Linked DNA regions of Callithrix jacchus. The protein of the gene in region 2 interacts with the protein of the main gene of each other region in a pairwise test. Links are inferred from orthologs where the notes say so. Each region holds a gene or a part of one and is shown on either strand. Other genes may lie near its edges.

Region 1 (3,813 bases), on a different chromosome or scaffold from region 2:
CCACCATCTGCCATGAGGAGCACCCCTATGAGCAGTAACTACTGCCCCAAGACCCTGGGGCTCTGGATGAGTCACATAATGGCAGACCTGAACTCAACCCACACTTAGAGTAGACCCATTGCTAACAGACCACAGAATCATGGGCAAAAAAGTAAATGTTTGCTGTTCTAAGCTATTAAGATTTGGAGATGTTTGTTACCATAGCAAAAGCTGACTATTACATGGCTCACTTCTTGTATTTTTTTTTTTTTTTTATGACAGGGTCTTGCTGTATCTACCACCCAGGCTGAAGTGCAGTGGTGTCATCACAGGTCACTGCAGCCTAAACCACTTGGGCTCAACTGATCCTCCCACCTCAGCATCCCAAGTAGCTGGGACCACATGCACACACCACCATGCCTGATTTTAAAACTTTTAAAAAGTTTTTTGTAGAGACAGGGTCTCGTTTTGTTGCCTGGACTAGTCTCAAATCCCTGATCTCAAGCAGTCCTCCTGCAGCGACCTCCCAAAGCGTTGGGATTACAGGAGTGAGCCACCACAACCAGCCAACTGCTAACTTCCTAGCATCGCTAAGAGTGTTTGCAGACATTTCTCATCCCTCTCACAGTACCCTAGGAAGGTTCAAGCAATTTATTCCTTCTATGGAAATCACTTTCTGCCTGGGCATTCCTCCAGTAACTCCCACCTTCAACCTGGCTTCAAGAGAACCTGGTACTGAAGAACAGCAGTAAAAGGGAGCATTGGTCAAAAATGTCATTCTATACCCTAGTTGCAGGTGACCCAACCAAATCCCCACCCTCCTGAGGACAGACCACCTGACCCAAGGGGGACTCACATCATAGGTGACTTCCTCCACCTGGTCCTTCTCCATGAGAAACACTTTGGAGACCTGCTCACATGGGCCCTGGAGGATTCGGGCAATCAGCGGGTAATCGGTGGTCTTCAGCTTCTGTTTCTCTGCAATCACACACAACCAGGGGCAGCCCTGAGTTTGGCCTGAGGCCTTTCTCACATTAAGTAGTGGTCAATGCAGGGGTTCAAATGGACCAGGACCTTAGGAGATGCTGCCATATAAGTAAGGAGACTGATTTACAAATGAACTATTCCATAGATGTAAAAAGCAACCTACTCCCACTCCCCGCCCCTCAACAGTACCACCATGCCTCAAACCCCTTGGAGGAATTGGGTTTATCTGTCTCTTGAGAAAATCTAGTTCCTTTTTTAATAGGCAGTTAGGTTTAGGATTTTTTTACTGGCCACATAAGGCAATCCCCGGTGGACTCACACAGCAAGCCCATCAGCCTTGAAAGCAAACAACATTTGGAAGTTTCCAAAACCCAAACAACAAGAAAAGGAGACAGAGGTATTTTTTTAACTTGCTATTTTGAGATAATTAGAAGTTTTAAAGTACACTGTGTCCTTCAGACTTACCACCACTCGTATGGACCACGTACAAGGCAAACTCCTCTGCTGAATTCTCAATCTGAAGCAGGAACAAAAGATACTTATTGAAAGTATCTATTTAAACATCCCAACTTCGAGGCTTTTTCTCTTCTTTAACAATACAAAGCTAAGTATATTTTAGGCTGTTCTGAGGGGAGAGCTATTTATCTACAACTCTCAGAAGTGATGAGAAGATCGAGAAGGCAGATGAGTTTATCAATAATACAGTCATGCGCTTAACCAAGAGGATGCATTCTGAGAAAGCGCATGTTAAGCGCATGACTGATTTCATTGTTGTGCAAACATCACAGAGTGTACTTACACAAACCTGGATGGCAGAGCCTACTACACACCTAAGCCATATGGTACAGCTATTGCTCCTGGGCTACAAACCTGTACAGCATGTTACTAAACTCAATGCCGTAGGCACTTCTAACACTGGGAAGCATTTGTATGTCTAAACATACGTCAACACAGAAAAGGTACAGTAAAAAAATTGATTATAATCTTAGTAAAAAAAATAATAATAATCTTATGGGACCACTGTCGTATATGTGGTGCATCATTGACCAAATGGGTCGTTCTGAGGCACATGACTGGGACAGATAATAGCTGCCATCTATTGCAATATGCCAGGCATAGTTCTACAAGCGTTAAAGGTTTCAACCCATCTAATGCTCCTGACAGCTCCTGACAATACCATAGCGAGGTCCCATTATCCTCATTTTACGATGATGAAGCAGAGGCAGAGGTACGTTAAGTCGCCCGCCCAATTCATCCAACTCACAGGTGCTCAATGGAGATCTAAACCCAGAGCCTGTGCTCTTAGGTTGCTAGGCTACACTGGCTTCCATTAAAAATAAGAATACCTGGTCTCCAAGAGATTGTGGAAAACACAGAGCAACAGGACTTTAAAAGCACTCCTGCACTATAATTTGCACATCTATTTAAGTATCATATTTCATATCTCAAAGTAGGTTTCCCAGCTGTGTCCCAGAAGTCAATCTTTGCACTGAGCCCAAAACCAGTCATCAGGCCCTAGGGTCCTTCTAAAGTAGCCAGTAGCCCATGAAGGATTTGAGGACTGATGTTTCTCAAACTTTGGTAGGCACCGAACCCCCTCCCCTGCAGGTTTGTTAGACGGCGTCCCCGGCCTACCCCTCACAATTTCGGATTCAGTGGGTCTGGGGTGGGGACTGAGAATCTGAATTTCTAACAAGCACCCAGGTGATGCTGATGCTGTGGACCTTGTCTTGGATCATGAGAATCTAAAGAACCCAAGCCCTTTGCCCAGCATCCTGCAAACCATACCATTCCCATAACTCCCCGCACAACCACTCTAGGGGTCCCAAGGCACATCTGTGACCCTATCTGTGGCCAGCCAACAAAGGGAACTTGCCTTAAATTTGTTGAGCAGAAGCTTCAGGACCTGTGGGGTGGTCATGGTGCTATTGATGCGGACGTTGGTGACAGAGCCATAGGCTGGAGTGAACACGGATGTCTGTCAATAGAAGGGGCCAGCTCAGGGTGGGAGTGGGAACAAGGACCCAGTGCTAAAATCCAGGTGCGGTACAGGGCACAGTGACGATACTCACAGTGTACCCCCTGGAGCCCTCGGCAGCCTGGCAAGCAGCAGGCTTTACAGACAAAGCAGCCCTCCGGGTTTGCATAATTCAGTTCATGCTCTACACTCACAAAGACCCTTCCTCTGGGACTTCAGCACAAGGCTGTCTCTGACTATTCTCCCACCATGCACTTCCCTCCAGGGGTAGGATTTGAACAGAGCAGGAGGAAAGGAGGGGTCAGCTAGCTCGGGCAGGGTTGGTGGTGCACTGACACCCCCAGGACTGAGACCTGCAGCTCTGCTTCGGAAGCAGCCCTGAGCTCCAGGAAAAGCCAGACCATACACCAACTAGGGGCACAGTGTGCAAGAAGAGGGCGTAACATGGATTTTCTTGGGAGGGACTGAGAAGCTGTGTTTATGGGATCTTCAAGGATACGGCAGGGACTGCTTTGTATAACCCCACTGAATTCACCCACCACCCTAGGGGGGAACCCACAGGGGGACTCTGAGCCTTCTGACCTGGGGTCCCTCCACCCTCAGGAGCCAGCAGGGCTTGCAGCCCACCCACAACCCAAAGACTAAACAGCAGCACACACTTGGCTTCCCAGGCATGGCCATGGCTGTAGCCCTGAGGTGGCAGCTGCCCAGGAAGGGGTCCTCCCCCTCCCTGTCCCCCCATCCACTTTACCTTATGGTTGTAGAAATGGCCATTGATGGAGAAGCGATGGCGTCTGATTCGCCGCTGGTCACTAGGCGTCCTCACATTGCCACGGCGACGCACCCCAACATCACTGCGTGTGCGCATC
Region 2 (3,813 bases):
TGGGGCCATTGCCCCAGCAACACCCATCTGTCTCCTTGAGTTCTTTCCTGCCTCTACTGACCTGGGAGAGCTAGAGGAAGGAGCAGAGATCCCTTTCCCCACAGTGGGCTGGGAGAAGACCCTCAGGATCCAACTACGGAGACCTGTGGGGCTGCAGTGGCTTTCCCTCCTAGGAGGCTCAGACCAGCTCCCCCAAACCTCCTGCACCCAGGCAGACACCAGTTGCCTTTGGTGAGTCCCCACTGTAAGAGGCAGGGTGTAAGGTAGCCACTCTAGTGTGTACCTCTGAGCCAGGCAGGAAGCAGGAAGGTTCTATAATGACGGCCTTGGAGAACCAGCCCACTAGGTTTCCTCCTGCGTCTCTTTACTAAGAAACAGCCTTTAAGACTTAAACCCAGGACCATCTGTGACTGGATTTTCTGGTGCCCCATCTGGCTAAACCCTGAAGAGCCAGTTGGTGCCAGCCACCAGCAGGGGGCAGTGTTTTTCTACCTTCTCCCTTCCTTTCCCAACCAGGTACGAAGTTCTGTGCCCTCTCGTCTCTGAGCACTGCACAATCGAAGGGGTAGGAAGGGAAGCAGCTGAGTCCTATTGTCCTGGCTTCCTGGGGGCCACGCTGTACCAGGCCCTTGGTCACTGTATATCATTTAATCACTTAGTTTACGTCGAAGCTCAGAGAAGTTAAGAGAGCTTCCCAAAGACACAAGCAAAAAACGAAAGGGTCAGATCTATTTCCGTAAAGCACGTGGAAGGCACTGAGGGCCCTGGCTTCCAGACCCCTGAGGCCTCTAGAGGCTGGAGGAAAGGGAGGACCTGCCAGGCAGTAGCCACAGAATTTAGAGGGCGGGCAGAGGTGCCAAACCCTAAGCAGGTGGTGGAGTGGGGGCGGTGAGGGGGGGCTCACCAGCTTCATGCCCAGGCAGTTCTTCTCTCGCGTGTTGTAGCTGTCGATCTTCTGCTTGATTTCCTGCAGTGTGGGTGGACGCTGTGTCTCCTCCACAGGTTTACAGACATTCTAGAACAGACACAGAGTGGAAGTGGGGGTGCAGTGGTTCTCAGGGTGAGAAAGGGAATGACCACGCCCTCCCCAAAGCCTCTCTAACCAAGAAGTGAGCACCAGCCCTGCAGAGTTGAACTAACTGCACGGACTCAGAGTGAGACAATGAGAGGTCAAATTGCAGCTGTGCCAGCATCTAGCTGACTCTCCTGGGAAAGTAACTCAGATTTCTCTAAGCCTCAATCTCCCCATCTGTGAAATGGGAACAATAACTGCTTGTCTTAAGTGTGAAAGTGTCTGGCACTCAGGCACTGACTGTGAATCTGGTGAACAAGCAGAGCTGCATTTGCTTACGAAGGGTTGCTAAAAGATGCTTCTTTGATGCTGTGGGAGATGCAAAATACAAGCCATGCTGTCTCCTCAAGGAAGTACCAACACAGCTGGAGGGACAGGCATCTACCCGTGATGCCAGTATATGCTGCTGATGGGAAGGACAAGAATCCTTTTAGATCTAAAGGACCAAGGACACATGGACGCCAGTTCAGGCCCCACATCACTTGCCGCAGTGCTTTTCACATAGCAAGAAGTAAGTATCTATTTGTCAAATGAATGAGTGAACTGGCAGGGATGAAGGGGTGGAGCCCTCCACCATAACAGAGGAAACAAACCGCTACTGAGCACAGGGACACCCAGCATTTACTTAGCACCTCCCCTGTGCCAAGTACTTGGCATACATTCTCTCATTTGAGTCTCACAAACCAGAAGTCTGCAAGATCGTTTATTAAGATAGACCCCATCTTACCCTATCTTACAGGTGAGACTATTGAGGCTAAGAGTGTGTACAGAACGAAACAGAAATTCCAGGTCTGTCCTGTTGAAGTCCTTCTGTGAGACCACGTGTTCATTCTCCTCATATGTTCCCAGATGCCTCCTCCTCCCACCCCCTGGGAAGGATAAGTGAAGAATGAAGTTGAGGAGATGGAGGTCAATGCCCTCACCTTGTAGAGAGAGTACAGGGGTGAATTCTGGGGTCAAAGCCACTGTCCCTCAGTCAGTTCTCTGGATCTCCCTCATATTCACTGTTACCCACTTCCCGGTTTTATCTTCACACTGTCCCTGAGTGGCTGGGAGTGTTGGAACAGGTTGGTCGGAACCCACCCAGAATTTGCCTGATATTAGAAGTATAGCAGACTTGGGGTGGATCAGGATTCTTTTTCAGCAAATGAGGAAACTGAGGCCCAGAGAGGGATGACTCTAACACCATCTGACACTGTCCTGTGGGTGTTTGGGTTTCGCTGGGGAATTTCAAAGCTGCTGTGACATCATACCACCACCCCGCAGGACACAACGGGGCCCCCGTGACAGAGCTTTGCCCTACCTTCCTCCCTTCAGCAAGCCGTGTGAGAGACACACCACCCTGACAACCTGCCATCACTTCCTTCTCACACTTTCCAATCCCCACAGAACCGATACAACATCAGGCTCTGGCTGTCAAGAGGAGCTGGCATGGCTCCAGCCTCCCGCCTCCAACCCCTCAGCTCAGCACAGCTGACATCCTCTTTTTTTTTTTTTGAGACGGAGTCTCCCTCTGTCACCAAGGCTGGAGTGCAGTGGCACAATCTAAGCTCACTGCAACCTCCACCTCCCGGGTTCAAGTGATTCTCCTGCCTCAGCTTCCCAAATAGCTGGGATTACAGGTGTGCACCACCACACCCAGCTAATTTTTGTATTTCTAGCAGAGATGAGGTTTCACTATATTGGCCAGGCTGGCCTCAAACTCCTGACCTCAAGTGATCCAGCCACCTCTGCCTCCCAAAGTGCTGGGATTACAAGTGTGAGCCACCGTGCCAGCTTCTGATGTCCTCTTTCCATCATGGCATCATTCTCTGGCCTGTTGCTCCTTTGTACTCTTCCCCAGGACTCCTAATCTATTAATAAGAGTCTGTGCTGGGTACTTTCACATACAGTCTCTTACATACTATGTATGTCATTCTTATTTTACAGATTACAAAACAGGCTCAGAGAGGTTAAGAAACATGCCTATGGTCACCTGCTAGTAAGTGGCTAAGCAGGAACTGGAATCAAGTCTAAAGCCCATGTTCTCAATTCACCATGTAGCCACCATGGGACAGCATCTTTTGCTGAAGGGGCTGGCCTGCCACACCCATAGTGATCATTGAAACTCCATGCTGCAGGGCTGGGATGAGCAGCTGTTAAACCAAGGCCTGTAAGTTACCTGATCTGTGAAATGCTCATCTAAGATATGTCTAAGCCATGGGTCAGGCCCCAGAGGCACCATGTCACCTGTGATGGTGTCACCTGTGATGGTGGGAAGGAAGAACTTCCTAACTTGAGTGAGATGCAGCCACCAAGAAGCAGGGCCCAGCCTTCTCCTGTGTGTCTTCCCAGGTCTCTGGAACTGAACCTTGATTCTGTTGCAGACCACACAAGGGCAAGCAGCCCTGGCCACTTGCTGGAGGTGAGTAGGAAGTAGTGTGAGCCTCATAGACTCTCTTCATTCACTGTCAGCCCGTTAACCCAGGGACTCTCACAATGAAGCCTCTCATTCCCCATCCCTTCCCTTGGGTAGCTCCCAAAGCTTCCCAGCCTCAGTCCTCGCCAGCTGAACACGTGTCTGTGGCACCAGGTGTGCCTGGCCCTGGCCTTACCCCCATCCCACCTTCCCTCTGGAAGCTTCCAGTTGGAAAAACACCGTTGTCTGATTACTATTATACACTCCACTCTCTCTGAAGCACATAGGCTGTTGCTCCTCAGGAGCTAATAGCTTTCTCATACTTGTCTATAAAAAAGAAGAG

Evidence for each region.
Region 1: the proteins of RASSF5 (region 2) and RASSF2 interact in binary tests that used the Homo sapiens proteins (3 or more experiments, as listed by UniProt). The link is inferred for Callithrix jacchus from reciprocal best matches to the Homo sapiens genes RASSF5 and RASSF2.

The regions. Positions count from the first base shown.
Region 1 is NC_133506.1:12,241,689-12,245,501, forward strand, and holds part of RASSF2 (ras association domain-containing protein 2), read right to left. Parts: coding exon 3,696-3,813; intron 2,945-3,695; coding exon 2,843-2,944; intron 1,484-2,842; coding exon 1,432-1,483; intron 958-1,431; coding exon 836-957; intron 1-835. UniProt on the Homo sapiens protein: Potential tumor suppressor. Acts as a KRAS-specific effector protein. May promote apoptosis and cell cycle arrest. Stabilizes STK3/MST2 by protecting it from proteasomal degradation.
Region 2 is NC_133520.1:34,086,074-34,089,886, reverse strand, and holds part of RASSF5 (ras association domain-containing protein 5), read right to left. Parts: intron 1,016-3,813; coding exon 905-1,015; intron 1-904. UniProt on the Homo sapiens protein: Potential tumor suppressor. Seems to be involved in lymphocyte adhesion by linking RAP1A activation upon T-cell receptor or chemokine stimulation to integrin activation.